2 linked regions of the Elephas maximus indicus genome follow. The protein of the gene in region 1 interacts with the protein of each later gene in a pairwise test. Links are inferred from orthologs where the notes say so. Each region holds a gene or a part of one and is shown on either strand. Other genes may lie near its edges.

Region 1 (7,280 bases):
ACCTATTGCAGAAGAGTCGATTCTGACTCATGGTGACCCCATACATGACAGAGTAGTATTGCTCTGTAGGGTTTTCTTGGGTGTAATCTTTACAAAAGCAGGTTTCCAGGCCTTTCTTCCAAGGCACCACTGGGTGAATACAAACTGTCAACCTTTGAATTAGTGTTGTTGTTGTGTGCCGTCCGTTGATTCTGACTTATAGCAACCCTATAGAAGAGAGTACGACTGCCCCATAGGGTTTCCTAAACCATAATCTTAGGACTCTAAGATCTAACTAATCTCAGATTGCCAGGTCTTTCTCCCGAAGAGGTGCTGGTGGGTTTGAACCGCTGACCTTTCAGTTAGCAGCTGAGTGCTTAACCACTGCACAACCAGGGTTAGTCCAGTGCAAATCATCTGTACCATTCAGGGACCTGGAAGGTGTTCAGGCTGGTCCAATTCCATGTGCCCATTTGGAACTGTCCCAAGTGCCCACTTCACCCAGGAAAAGTCCCAGGCCCATCCTGTCCTCCCAGTCCCTTCCCACAGACCTACCTGGGTCAGATGCTGTTCAGATGCAAAGCCAAGGCCGTAGACTGTATTGGCACGACTGTCTGCCCATTGCCCGAACTTCTGGGAAGTTTTCGTGAAGGTCATGTTGGGGGTGACAGTGCTGTTGATGATGGCCTGGGGGGCAAAGTTCAAGGGACCGATAATAACAAACATGAAAAGCTCTGAGCATCACTTTGGAGGAGGGCTCGGAGGCTTTGCTCTGAGCTCTTTCAGGAGGGGAGACTGCAGCCTAGGAAGATGCAGGCTACCCCCTGCCAGGGGGCACACAGCAGGGACCCCTGGTGCTCCCTACCCCTAGATCCGCCTCACCTTGGCACCCCCGATGCTGATGATGCGGTAGACATTGCGGGTGGCATCGTAGAAGTAGGAGACGGTGAGGGCGTGCTTGCCCGCGGGGATCCAGTTCCGCTTGGTGGCTGGGTCAATCTGGAATACGTGAGCTCGTGTGCTGAAGATGGGCTGCTCCCTGGAGGAAGAGGGCATTCAGCGGGGTGGAGCTGCACAAGGGAAGGCTGGGGATCGGGGTAGAGGGGGTGCTCACCTGGTTGTGGACATTGGTCAGGCTGGGCTGGGCAGGCTCCAAGGGGTGGCCAGAGGAGGGGCAGGAGCTGCTGGTTCAAAGGGTTAAGCACTGGACTGCTAACCAAAAGGTTGGCAGTTCAAACCTACCCAGAGGCGCCTCAGAAATAAGGCCTGGCTATCTACTTCCAGGAAACCCTGGTGGCATAGTGGTTAAGAGCTACAGCTGCTAACCCAAAGCCTGGCAGTTCGAATCCACCAGACATTCTTTGGAAACCCTATGGGGCAGTTCTACTTTGTCCTATATTGTTGCTATGAGTCAGAATCGACCCAAGAGCAGTGGGTTTGGGTTTATTTCATATCTACTTCCAAAAGGTCACAGCCTTGAAAACTCTACGGAGCACAGTTGTACTCTGCACATGTGGGTCCCGTGCGTCAGAATCCACACAATGGCAACTAACAGTAACAACAACCCCATCTCAGGGAACCCCCACATCATGTGTGGCAGGAGACGCCTCTCTAGGGGAAGTCAGATGTAGTGGAGCCTGAGGGGCCCGGGGAGGACAGCAGGTCTCCTCTCAGCATTCCTGGTATCCCATCATGAACCCCCCACCATCCTGGTCACTGGAGATATCCTGTGAGCCCCCGCAATCCCAGGCTGAGGGGAAACTACTTTCCACCAGATGCATCCAGCACGTCTCAAACCAGGGTGTACCAGCAAAAAGTGGGCCAAGCCCAGGTGCCAAGTGGGAGGCCAGACCCTGCTGGACCCATGAGGGATCCCCAGCTCTGACCCTGGGGCAGTGGCACCACTAGGAGTCAGAGTCCAAATCCCCGGAGAGACCACCACTCCATCAGAAGGATAAGATGTAGCCACACAGGTCCACCCTAGGTGCAGGGTGGACTCCAGATAGAGGAGATTGGGCTCCCCAGCCTCTTAGTAGGTTCCTCTAGCCACCACCCTACAGAAGCCAGGACAAGCAGCCTGGAAGGAGACCTCCTGATGCCCCTCCTGCAGCTCCAAACCTGCAACCAGGGGGTCTGAGGGGACCTGGGAGAGGCCAAGGATGGGGAAGTTGCGGGGGGAGGGGAGCCTGACCCAGCGGTCTCTGTGGTCAGAGCGGGGGTGCCCCCCTCCACCCGTCATGGGCAGCTGCTGTCCCGGTCACAGGTCTGAAACCCGAGTCCCTGGGCTGGGGGAGGGGCGGCCGTTCTGGCCGGGGCTGGGGGCGGGTCCAGGGCCGGCCAAGTTGGGAAACGCCGGAGTCCTCTGAACTCAGGCGCATCCAGCGCGGTAGCTCTTGCCTTGACTTGTGGCGTTCAGGCAAAGTTACTCATGTCCGAGTCACGCACCTAGGACGCCAGCCGCCTGCGCCGGGCTCCCCGAGGGGCCCGACCCTGCCTGGTGACCGGGGATCCCCAATCCTGCCGCAGGAGAGGCCCCACTCCGCGCACCCCAGCCCAGGAGGCCTGGTATTCAGCTAGGACCGGGGTCCCCACTCGTGCCAGGAGCGGGGCACCCCGTGTGCGCCCTAACTTCAGAACGCGCCGACCTTGGAACTTCGGGGATCCCGGGGACAACCTGCTATTCTGAGTTTGGAACTTCGGGGACCTCCATCAGTCGGTGACCTAGAGTCCGGAACTTCAAGGACCCCGCGTCGCCCCCCAGTTTCGAGTCCGGAACTTAGAGGACCGCCGCGTTGCATCCCTCCATCCCGGGTCCAGAACTTCGCAGCCCCCTTCGCCATCTCTCGACCTCGACTTTGGGGACACCCTGCACCCCTCCCGACCCCGAAGCTTCACGGTCTTATGTCCCCACCCCGGTCGGTCTCGCGGGGCTCACCCTGCCGGGTCGGCCGCCGAGTGTCCGGGCGCGAGTCGGGTGCGGCCCGGCGGCACCAACTCCGCGCAGGGCCGGCCGGGCGCCGCTGCCTCGCTCCGGGCCTGCCCGCCGCCCGCGCCTTTGTCTGCGCGCCGCCGCCGCCTGCGCCGCCTCCGGTCCCATCGCAGCCGGTCCCGACGCGGCAGCCGCCCGCCCCGCCTCCCGGCCCGTGAGCTCCCCGCAGCGCCCCTGCTGGCGGCCCAGTGCGCCGGTAGGCAGGGGTGATGGGGGGAAACCCAGGGAGGGGGCGAGGAGCAGAGAGAGGAGCTGGGCGCGGGTCGGGGGTGGGACAGACAGACAGACGGCAACAGACATCTGGGATGACAAGGACACCCAGAGGTAGAGAGATAGGCAGAGACACAGAAGGACACAGAGGAAGAGACGAACAGAGACTGTGGCCTCCAGTCACCACTTGGGGGCCCACCCTAACCCTCCAAGTCACTGCTGCCAGCTGCCCTGGTTGCCCCGGGTCATGACCTTAGGCTTGGGATGGGGGTTAGGTCCCTCCCGGTCAGGTCCCCCCTGTCAGGTCACTCCATAAGGTCCTGAGGCAGGGGCAGGTCTACCCACCTTGGGGATGCCTGAGTGTTGCTGGGAAATTAAGACATCTGGACCAGAAGAAGTGGAAGGGGGACAAAGAGAGAGAGGCAAACAGTAGGCGCTTAATGGGGTTGGCCTGGGGCACCTGCTCAGGATCCTGCCTGCTCTTCCCCGAGCCCTGATCCCTCTGGCCTGGGCGTGTCTGCCTCTGATTCCCCAAAGACAACCCCATAAACTGGGGATCATGATAATTACTGCTGTTGTTATAGGGTCCGAGGTCCAGGGTGGAGGGACTGTCAGTGTCCAGGTGGCAGCCCTGGGTTTGCACTCTCTGAGCTCAAGGTGCCTCCCCCTTCCTGCAGCTGTGACAAGCAGGTCTTTTTGGGGTGGCTGAGCTAGCCCCAGCCTGCCGGTGGGGCTCACTGGTTAGTCCTGTTGCAAAGGGACATTTGGTGGGTGGGCAGAGGCACTGGACTCAGAGCAAGTCCTGGGTTCCCTGAAGCTCCAAACCTAACACGTGAGTTTTCCAACACCCTCAGAGGTTCTGACTTTTGATCTGCCAAGGCCTTGGAGTGCTCTCATCTCTTTTCCCTGTTTTTTTCATTTCCTTTCCCCAAGAACAATCAGGGGAGGTTACCTTCCCCCAAGCTGTGTGTTCAGCCTCATGGCATGGGTCGTGAAGGTAGCTGCCAGCTACCTTCAAAGACCGTTAGGTGAATAATTGAATACCAGGACTTGTTGCTTCTGAAGACATTCCCAGCCCAAGATCAGAATCCCCCTCCCTCTGGGCCTTTGCCCAAGCTGTTCCCTCCACCCAGAAGACCCTCCCTGTAGCATAATTCTGCCTGGTCCTTCCTGGCTCAACTCTACTGCCCCCTCCTCAGAGAAGCTTCTCTGAATATCCTGGGCTTGGAAGGGACCTTATTTTTCCTCCCAACCCACCATCCATTTCCTGTGATCTGAGCCAAGTTACCTGTTTATATCAGTGGGGCCCAGGTGTGAGTTTTCCTTGAGGACCAGTCCCCCCTGCAGCCCCTGCCTCACTCAGCACTGGAGGGACTGCTCACCGGAGTTGGGGAAACCGAGGTGCAAACTCTGTCTCCCCCAGCTGCTTCTAACTTCATGAGGCATCTGAACAAGCAAAGTACTTGGCTTGGCTCTCAGGCCTGATGCCACGAAAGGCGCGAGATCTGTGGGGAACAAAGAAAATACCGTCTGTTCTGTGCAAAGAGTGACTTTTTCCTTATTACCAAAAAAAATAATAAAATAAATAAATAAATGGGAAAGGTTCTGGCCAGGCTGAGGCTCCTTGAAGCCACTGAGGGTTTGCCAAGGGGCTGGCTGGCTGCAGAACCAGGACCACATGATCCATTCTGTGGGGGCAGTTGGGCGAGAGGCCCAGGCCGAAGTTGCTCCTTGTGTGGGTGTGGGCAGAAAGCAACAGTGTGACAAGGAGGAGGGAGTTACATGGCTTCCCTGGGCCTCCTCTAGGGGCTCCAGGAGTACCTGGAACTTGGTGTGCCTTGAGCAGCCCTAACCTGAAGGTGTCTCCACCAGGTCCACATGGAGGAAGTGGCTTTCTCAGTGTAGGCCTCAGTTTTCTCACTTGGAGAATGGGCTAATGCTTACAGGGCTCAGGGAGGAGGTAGTAGAGAGGATCCAGGTGAACCAGCAGCTCCTTACCCTTCTGTGGGTATAGATGGGCAGGGGGCTGCCCTGAATTGCTGACCCCACTTCAGCCTGAGCCCTCCTCTGCCTAAGCCTTGGGACCTCTCTTCCAACGGACTGGGCATGTCTTTGTGGGCCACCACCCCAGGGAGGATAACTAAAAGCTTTCCTTTCAGGCTGAGGAAAGGAGTGAGGGAATGAGTTTCCTGTCACAGGAGAAATCAAGCAGTGGCCAGACTAGTTTGCTTGGCTCTGTGGAAGTTGCCATTTGTAGAGTGACTTTTATGGGTCAGACCCTGTCCCTGCCTAGTTAAATCCAACCTAACCTTCAGACTGAAGCTAAATCATCTCTTTTCCCTGAAGAGGTTGCCTTCCTGACAGACAGGGGATGTGAGGGGATGTAACGCTTCCCCCAGGCCGTGTATACAACCTCATGGCTTGGTTCACAGTGGCCACTTTAAATCTGTTTACGGCATGATTTGGTTACTGTCTACCTCTTCCATGGCTTTGTCGCAACACCCAGATCAAGCCTGACCTGTAGCAGGACCTTCAGAAATGCTTGCCGAAGGGATTCCCAGGCCCTAACCTTGGACCTCAGGGGCCTCCAGAGTCCAGGGCCAGGGAGTGAATTGCAGCCCCGGTTCTTACCAACAGTGTGACCAGGAAGGAGTCACTCTCCCTTGCTGTGCCTCAGTTTCCCATCTGTAAAATGGATATAAGAATGATACCCTCTTTTGAAGCTTGCTATAAAGATCCAGTGAATTCTTATATGAAGAGGGCTGACTCTATGTGCTCAATGAATACTTGCTGTTTGAATCATTATATTCCTGGCTGTCTGGGTGTGCGGTTTTTGATCCGGAGCCAAGTTCTTAACATTTTCTCTTTCAGAGGTTGAAGGGCCCCAAGCAGATGTGAGCTCTAGAGGACAGGAAATTGGTCCAAGCCAAACCTGTTGCCGTTGAGTCAATTCTGACTCATGGTGACCTCATGTGTTACAGAGTAGAACTGAGCTCCATAGGATTTTCTTGGCTGTAATCTTTAGAGAAGCTAGTTGCCAGGCCTTTCTTCTGGGGTGCTGCAAGTTGGGTTAGAACCACCAACCTTTAGATTAGTAGACGAGGGCAAGCTGTTTGTGTCGTCCAGAGACCTAGTCTAAATCCTCTAGGATCCTCTAAATCTTTAGCTCCTAGCCCCTTGTGTGTCCCTCAAGGCTCTCCACTTTTCCTTCTCACCACCCTCCTAGGCACAGCCAGTTGGACCAGCCTTCAGACCGTCTCTTCCTGGCAAACACCTATTCATCCCTCAAAGCCCCACCTCCAATACCCTCTACTCACTCCTCTCCCTCCAGACCCTCTCCAGTCCTCTCTCTCCTTCTGGTCCACCCTGACCCCAGGGAGCTTGCAGTGTCTGTGCCCAGCTCTGACTCCCCCAGCCTGAGGGCTCCCCGAGGCTCAGACGGGACTGAGGCTTCCCTAGGACTTGGCTTCTTCCAGCACAGGGTAGACACATGGGGTTCAGGGTGGAGGAGAATTTGATGACTCACTAATGTTGGTGATTTTTTGTCACTTTATGGTGACCCCACCTTAAATTCAAATCCAACTCAACTTTGACAAACAGCCCCCAGCAAACAATGGAGCCAGGCCTGCTCAGGCCCAGCCACGAAGGGGCCGGGTATGCAGGGGACAGTCTAGAGTCTGGAGGCTTCCCAGATAAAGTGTGCTGGCCCTGGGCTGTGGACTTAAGGGCCCAACACCAGGGCAAGGCAGAGGGCGGGGAGGAAGGAGTCGAGACCACTTCAAGCACCAAGCCAGGCTCTGCAGCTCACTTCCGGAAAACCTAATTACCCTCATTTGCCACACGCGCTAATTACTTCGGGGGCGCCAGGTGGTGGGGCGGGGCTGTCCCACTTTGGGGAGGTAGGTCGGCCGATTATTTTTGGCTGCCTTGTCCTTGAAGGCTCCACCACCCTCCCATATGAAGGGCAGAAAGTGGGGCAAAGAGATCGTAGATGCTGGGGGATGTGGTGTTGGGTGGGTCTCAGAGCTCCCTAAGCAGTGCGGATGGGGGTCTTTGGTGATGGGGCCTGGAGGGGCTGAGGATCAGCCAGCTCCCAGCGGAC
Region 2 (7,419 bases), on another chromosome or scaffold:
GGGACATTTTATACTTATGTCAACAGTATCATGCATACTAGGCTCTTTTAAAAACGTTTAACAAATGAAAAGTCAATGTATAATAGGAAAAAAAATTATGGTAGTCTTTGAAATGGTCTTTAATAGAAGCAATCAGAAGCCACATCCAGGTGACTGTTTTGCTGAAACTCTAGATGTTTTACCCCAACATCTGTCTGCTTACTGCATCTGTCTTTCCTCCTATGCAAGGCCAGCCCTCCACCTGTGAAGCAGATCTTACCTCCTTTCACTTACTCAAGGACATCCTTCCCGAAGTTCTACCAGCTCTCTCCCACATCATTCATTGTCCCATCATTTTACCGTCATCAGCTTATAAAACAAACTATAATTCTTGCGCCTTTAACAACCCCAAAACTTCTTGACCTCACATCTCCATTTATGTTCTCTTCCATTGCAAAACTCCTTGAAAGAACTGTCTATACTTCCTGTCTCCAATTCCTCTTCTCCCAGTCTCTCTGCGACCCACTTCAAGCATGCCTTTTACCCTTAACTATCCACTGCAAAAGGAGCCATGAAGTGGTTAAGCCCTCAGCTGCTAACTGAAAGTTCGATAGTTCGAATCTACCAGCTGTTCTGCGGGTGAAGATGTGGCAGTGTGCTCCCATAAAGATTTACAGCCTTGGAAATCCTGAGGGACAGTTCTACTCTGTCCTATAGGGTCACTGTGAGTTGGAATTGACTCCATGACAATGAGTTTATCCACTGCAAATGCCTTTGTAATTGTTTCCATGATCTTTATGTTATTTATCTATTGTTCAGTTCTCAATCCTTCTTTTACTTGACCAAAATATCCCCCTTTTCTTTTCATCCCCACTATTTCTCAGTCTTTATTGCTGGTTCATCTTCGTCTCTCTGACTTTTAAACTTTGGGGTGCCACTGACTCAGTCCTCGGGCATCTTCTCTGCAGTCACTCCTTTGTAATTTTGTCCATTCTTTTGGCTTTAAATACCATCTATACTCTGCTAACTCTCAAGTTTAGTTTTCCAGTCCAGACCTCTCTCCGGAACTCTAGGGTCATATCTGCCTACTTGAATATCTAATCGGCTTTTCAAACTTTACATACCCAAAACCAAATTCTTGATCTCCAACCTCAAAACAGAGAAAAATTAATTTCTTCCCACAATCTTCTTCATCTCAGTTTATCTAGGTTTCCAGTTTATTATATTAAATCCTTGGAGGTATCCTTGACTCTTCTCTTTCTCTCACACACTCCATATAATCTTTTGGTAAATCCTACTAAGTCTATCTTCAAAGCATATCCATAATCTGATCCTTTCTCAGTATGTCCACCAATGCCATCTTGGTCCAAGTCATCATCTCTTAGTGCAGTTATTACAATAATCCCCTAACTAGTCTTTCTGCCTCACTTCAGTTTACTCTTAACATGGCTGCAAAAGTGATCTTGTTAAAACCCAAGTCAGATCTTCAGGCCTTTGCTCAGAACCCTCCAATGGCTTCCCTTCTCAGTCCAATAAAATCCAAAGTCTTTACAATGGTGTACAAGGCCCCGTGCTCTTTCTCCGTCTCCCCTCTGGACTTCTACTACTGTTTCCTCCACCAATTATACTCCAATCATACTGTTCTCACATTTTCTCAAACATGCCAAACAGTCATCCACCTTAAAAGCTAAGAAAATATTTCTTCCTCAGTGTGAGATGTCTGAGTGCCCTCATATATCTTTATGATTCACTCTCATCTACTTCAGATCTTGGATGAAATGTCATCTTCTCAATAAGCATTTCTACATCATCCTGTTTAAAATTTAAACCTTTCATTTTCTTCTCTCCCATCCCCAACCTCTGCTCATTGGCGGTTCCTCAAAAAGTTAAACATAGAACTACCGCATGATCCAACAATTCCACTCTTAGGTATATACCCAAAAGACTTTAAAACAGGGACTCAAATAGATTCTTGTACACCAATGTTTACTACAGCATTATTCGTAATAGCCAAAAGTGGAAACAACCTAAGTGTCCATCAAAAGATGAATGGATAAACAAAATTTCTAAGAAATAAAATGTCTAATAAATAAAATATCTAGAATAGGTAACTGCATAGAGATAAAAGTCTATTAAATGTTACCAGAGGCTGGGAGAAGAGGGAAATGGGGAGTTACTGCTGAGGGGGTGCTGAGTTTCTGTTTGGAGTGATGAAAAACTTTGGACAATGCATAGTGATAATCGTAGCACAACATGGTCATTAATGTCACTGAATTAAGAATTGGACACTTTAAAATGGCTAAAATGGCAAACATTTTGATACATATATTACCACAATAATTTTTTAAAGGATATGATTATCAACCGAATAAGGCTGCTAGAGAGGAAGAGAACAAAAATGACTCCCAGGTTTCTGGCTTTGATAACAGCATTAAGAGGTGAAATCACCAACTGACATGGAGAATAGTGGAGGAGGAAAAAGTTGTCAGAGGGTGGAGACAATATATGCTGAATTTTGGGCATGCCCAAGTGGAGAGTTGTAGTGGACAGTTAATATATTGGTCTCAAGCTTATAAAAATATCTGAGAGGGAGTCATCAGGCCATATGTGGAGCTGATGTCACAGCAGTGGAGGAGTAGAATGAACCCTGGGAAACATCAGAGTTTAAAGCAATGTTTCCCAGTCTAAGGACTTAGAGCATCAAATCACCTTCTATTTTAAAAATACAGATTCTCTGGAGACCCTCCCTAACCTACGGAATAAGAATCTTTGGAGATGAGACTGAGGAATCTATATATTTTTAAAAGACCCCAGTTAACTCTTCTTGGGCTACCAAGCGGCAACTGCAAATCCAGTGATTAAAGTAATGGATAGAAGAGGAGACCAAGGAGTATATTTAAGAGAAGACGCAAGAAAGGTAACAAATAATAATATTTGCTGTGTACTTACTATGAGTCCAGCATTGTTTTGAATAAACACTTTACTGCACAGTGGTATTAGATCCTCACGATCCTATAAATGGTGGTGGTGGTAATTAGTTGCTGTTGAGTCAATTCAGACTCATGGTGGCCCCAATGTGCACTGAGTAGAACTGATCCATAGAATTTTCAAGGCTGTGACCTTTCAGAAGCAGATTACCAGGCCCGTCTTCTGATGTGCCTCTGGATGTGTTTGAACCGCCAAACTTTTGGCTAGTAGCTGAGTGTTGAACGCTTTGCGAGTAGGTATTATTGTTATCCCCAGTTTACAGATGAGGAATTTGAGGCACGGGGAGGTTGATTAACTTACTTAAGGTCACATAGCTAATAGTTATAGAGCCAGGAATTGAATCTAGCCCTTGCTCTAAAGTCAGTGCTTCAAAAATTTTAAAGTGCTTACAAATCACCTTGGTATTTAAAAATGCGGATTCTTATTGTGTGGGTCTAAGGTGGGAACTGAGATTCTGCATGTGTAACAAACTCACAGGTGACACGAATGTTGCTGATCTTGGGATCACACTTTGGATAGCAAAGATCTACCATTGGTTCTCAACCTTGGTTACATTTTAGAACAACCTGGTAAAGAGTAACAAGTCCCTGGCCCCACCACAAACCAGTTCAAGCAGAATCTTTGGGGCTTGTGCAGAGAAGAATCTGGGAGTGAGGATGGGGCATTAAAAGTAATTAAAATTAATTTATTTAAATAAGAGGAAGAACAACAGCAGCAACAACAAAAGGAAGAAGAAGGAAAAGGAGGAGGGAGGGAGGCAGTGATCATACTGCGCTGACCAAAGAGTGTAATTAAACAAATCAATCTAATTCTGTGGGACCTCGGTGGTCTAATTAAAAGATAAATAAACAAAGCCACAATTTGAAAGTTTAAACTTACCTTGCAAAAAAAAAAAAAAAAAATTAAAAGTAGAATCTTCCTGAGTAGAAAAAAGATAAAGAAAGAAAACCATGAAAGTAACTTTATGGAAAGGATGAAGACCAACCAAATAGAAAGTCCATTCCCTAAGTGCACAAAGAAAATGTTTTAATGAAAGCAATAAAAAAAATTTATTATTTTCTTTAAAATGTTTCCCCAATTTTAAATCAAAAAATGCTAAAGCCAGACATGAAACTATGAATGAATAAAATTAGGATGGTTTTAATTTCAGAAGAAAGAAAGAGGATATGTCTTTTGTTTTTGTTGTTATTAGGTGCTGTCCGGTTGGTTCCGACTCACAGCAACCCTATGCACAACAGAACTAAATACGGCCCTGTTCTGAGCCATCCTTACAATCGTTGTTATGCTTGAGCTCACTGTTGCAGCCACTGTGTCAATCCACCTCTTTGAGGGTCTTCCTCTTTTCTGCCAACCCTGTACTTTGCCAAGCATGTGATGTCCTTCTCCAGGGACTGATCCCTCCTGACAACATGTCCAAAGTATGTAAGATGCAGCCTTGCCATCCTTGCTTCTAAGGAGCATTCTGGTTGTACTTCTTCTAGGACAGATTTGTTCGTTCTTTTGGCAGTCCATGGTATACTCAATATTCTTCGCCAATACTACAATTCAAAGGCGTCCATTCTTCTTCAGTCTTCCTTATTCATTGTCCAGCTTTCACATGCATATGATCCGATTGAAGATACCATGGCTTGGGTCCGGTGCACCTTAGTCTTCAAGGTGACATCTTTGCTCTTCAAAACTTTAAAGAGGTCCTTTGCAGCAGATTTACCCAATGCAATGCATCTTTTGATTTCTTGACTGCTGCTTCCATGGCTGTTGATTGTGGATCCAGGTCAAATGAAATCCTTGACAACTTCAATCTTTTCTCCATTTATCATGATGTTGCTCATTGGTCCAGTTGTGAGGATTTTTGTTTTCTTTATGTTGACGTGTAATCCATAGTGAAGGCTGTGGTCTGATCTTCATTAGTAAGTGCTTCAAGTCCTCTTCACTTTCAGCAAGCAAGGTTGTGTCATCTGTATAACACAGGTTGTTAATGACTCTTCCTCCAACCCTGATGCCCCATTCTTCTTCATATAGTCCGGTTTCTCGTATTATTTGCTCAGCATACAGATTGAATAGGTATGGTGAAAGAATACAACCCTGACACACACCTTTCCTGATTTTATACCAATCAGTATCTCCTTGTTCTGTCCGAACAACTGCCTCTTGATCTATGTAAAGGTTCCTCATGAGCCCAATCAAGTGTTCTGGAATTCCCATTCTTTGCAATGTTCTTCACAACTGACTGGAAGAGAACCATATTTATGCCTATTCCCAAGAAAGGTGATCCAACCGAATGCAGAAATTATAGAACAATATCATTAATATCATATGCAAGCAAAATTTTGCTGAAGATCATTCAAAAATGGCTGCAGCAGTATATTGATGGGGACCTGCCAGAAATTCAGGCCGGTTTCAGAAGAGGACGTGGAGCCAGGGATATCATTGCTGATGTCACCTGGATCCTGGCTGAAAGCAGAGAATATCAGAAGGATGTTTACCTGTGTTTTATTGACTATGCAGAGGCATTTGACTGTGTGGATCATAACAAATTATGGATAACATTGCGAAGAATGTCTTTTATAAAGAGATCATTAATTTATAAAGCCAGCATATAAATGTATATATCCACATACCCACATAATAAAAAAATGAAATAAAATTGCTCACTACTTAAATTCAAATTTTGTTAATTTCTTCTAAGTAGCTGTAAACTAAACCAATTTGGATATATGCAGATTTGAAAAAAAGATATAAGGGAGGTTTCTGATAAATCTTATATGGTATGTCTCCTTTCAAATATATCTAAAATAAGTTACAGTATTATTCATACAAAGCTGCAAATTGTTTACTATCTGGATAGTCCCTTTATTACATATCCATGTTGTGTAAGAAATTACTCCAAAACTTAGTAGCCTAAGACAACACGCATTTATTATCTCAAGGTTTTTGTAGGTCAGAAATTTGGGAATGGCTTAACTGTGTGGTTCTGATGAGGTTGCAGGGTGTCTCCTGAGGTTGCAGTCAAGATGTAGGCTGGGGCTACAATCAAAGACTTGATTGGGGCTGGAGGATCCACTTCCACAACGTTATTCACATAGCTGTTGGCAGGAGGCCTCAGTTCTTTGCCTTAGGGTTACTTGAGTGTCCTCATGGCCAGGAAGCTGGCTTCTGCAGAGTGAGTGATCCAAGAAGGAGAGAGGAGGAAGCTGCAATGCCTTTTATGACATAGCATCAGAAGTTACATACTGTCCCTTCCTCCATCTCATATTTGTTAGAAGGGAGTCACTAAATCTAGGCCACATTCAAGGGAAAGAGAATGAAACTCCACCACTTCAGGAGAGGAGTATCAGAGGATTTGGAGACATACATTAAAACCAACACAATCTCCCACTTTGGAGAGTGGTGTCTGGGGTCTTAAACACTAGCAAGTGGCCATCTAAGATGCATCAATTGGTCTCAACCCACCTGGATCAAAGGAGAATGAAGAACGCCAAGGACACAAGGTAATTATGAGTCCAAGAGACAGAAAGGGCCACATAAATCAGAGACTACATCAGCCTGAGACCAGAAGAACTAGATGGTGCCTGGCTACAACTGATGACTGCCCTGACAGGGAACACAACAGAGAACCCCTGAAGGAGCAGGGGAGCAGTGGGATGCAGACCTCAAATTCTTGTACAAAGACAAGACTTAATGATCTGACTGAGACTAGAAGGTCCCCAGTGTTCTTGGCCCCCAGTCCTTCTGTTAGCCCGAGACAGGAACCATTCCCAAAGCCAACTCTTCAGACAGGGATTGGACTGGACAATGGAATAGAAAAAGATGCTGGTGAAGAATGAGCTTCTTGGATCAAGTACACACTTGAGATTATGGTGGCATCTCCTATCTGGAGGGGAGATGAGAGGGCAGAGGGGGTCAGAAGCTGGCAAAATGGACATGAAAAGAGAGAGTGGAGGGAGAGACTGGGCTGTCTCATTAGGGGAGAGCAATTAGGAGTATATAGCAAGGTGTATATAAATTTTTGTATGAGAGACTGACTTGATTTGTAAACTTTCACTTGAAGCACGATAAAAATTAAAAAAAAAAAAAAAACACAATCCCTTTCATGTAGTTGTTGTTATTAGTTGCCTTCAAGTCAATTCCACAGCTTAATATCTGAGTTCTCTGTAAAATAGATGATTATCTGTATTTCTGGGAGAAATAAAAAAGCCTAGTTTGCATATCTCCAGTGTCTAACTTCCCCTTCATTCCTTCCACTACATTTCTACCTTCACTTCTCCTATGAATCTCTTCTCCGAAGGTAACTAATGCCTCTCAGATGATAAATTAAATGGATACATTTCACGTCTTATTTTTATATCTCTGCAGCATTTGGTACTGTTAAACACTCCCAACATGAAGCTGTCTTCCTTTTGGCTTCTAATATAATATTGGTTCTTGCTTTTCTGTTGTGGTATGTGCCTAGAC

The links.
Region 2: the proteins of HOMER3 (region 1) and FRYL interact in binary tests that used the Homo sapiens proteins (3 or more experiments, as listed by UniProt). The two-hybrid records come from large-scale screens. The link is inferred for Elephas maximus indicus from reciprocal best matches to the Homo sapiens genes HOMER3 and FRYL.

What each region holds. Positions count from the first base shown.
Region 1 is NC_064821.1:38,794,690-38,801,969, forward strand, and holds the start of HOMER3 (homer protein homolog 3), read right to left. Parts: upstream 3,020-7,280; 5' UTR 2,915-3,019; intron 1,164-2,914; 5' UTR 1,108-1,163; coding exon 1,094-1,107; intron 1,019-1,093; coding exon 862-1,018; intron 667-861; coding exon 535-666; intron 1-534. UniProt on the Homo sapiens protein: Postsynaptic density scaffolding protein. Binds and cross-links cytoplasmic regions of GRM1, GRM5, ITPR1, DNM3, RYR1, RYR2, SHANK1 and SHANK3.
Region 2 is NC_064823.1:110,297,262-110,304,680, forward strand, and holds the start of FRYL (protein furry homolog-like), read left to right. Parts: upstream 1-4,358; 5' UTR 4,359-4,385; intron 4,386-7,419. UniProt on the Homo sapiens protein: Plays a key role in maintaining the integrity of polarized cell extensions during morphogenesis, regulates the actin cytoskeleton and plays a key role in patterning sensory neuron dendritic fields by promoting avoidance between homologous dendrites as well as by limiting dendritic branching.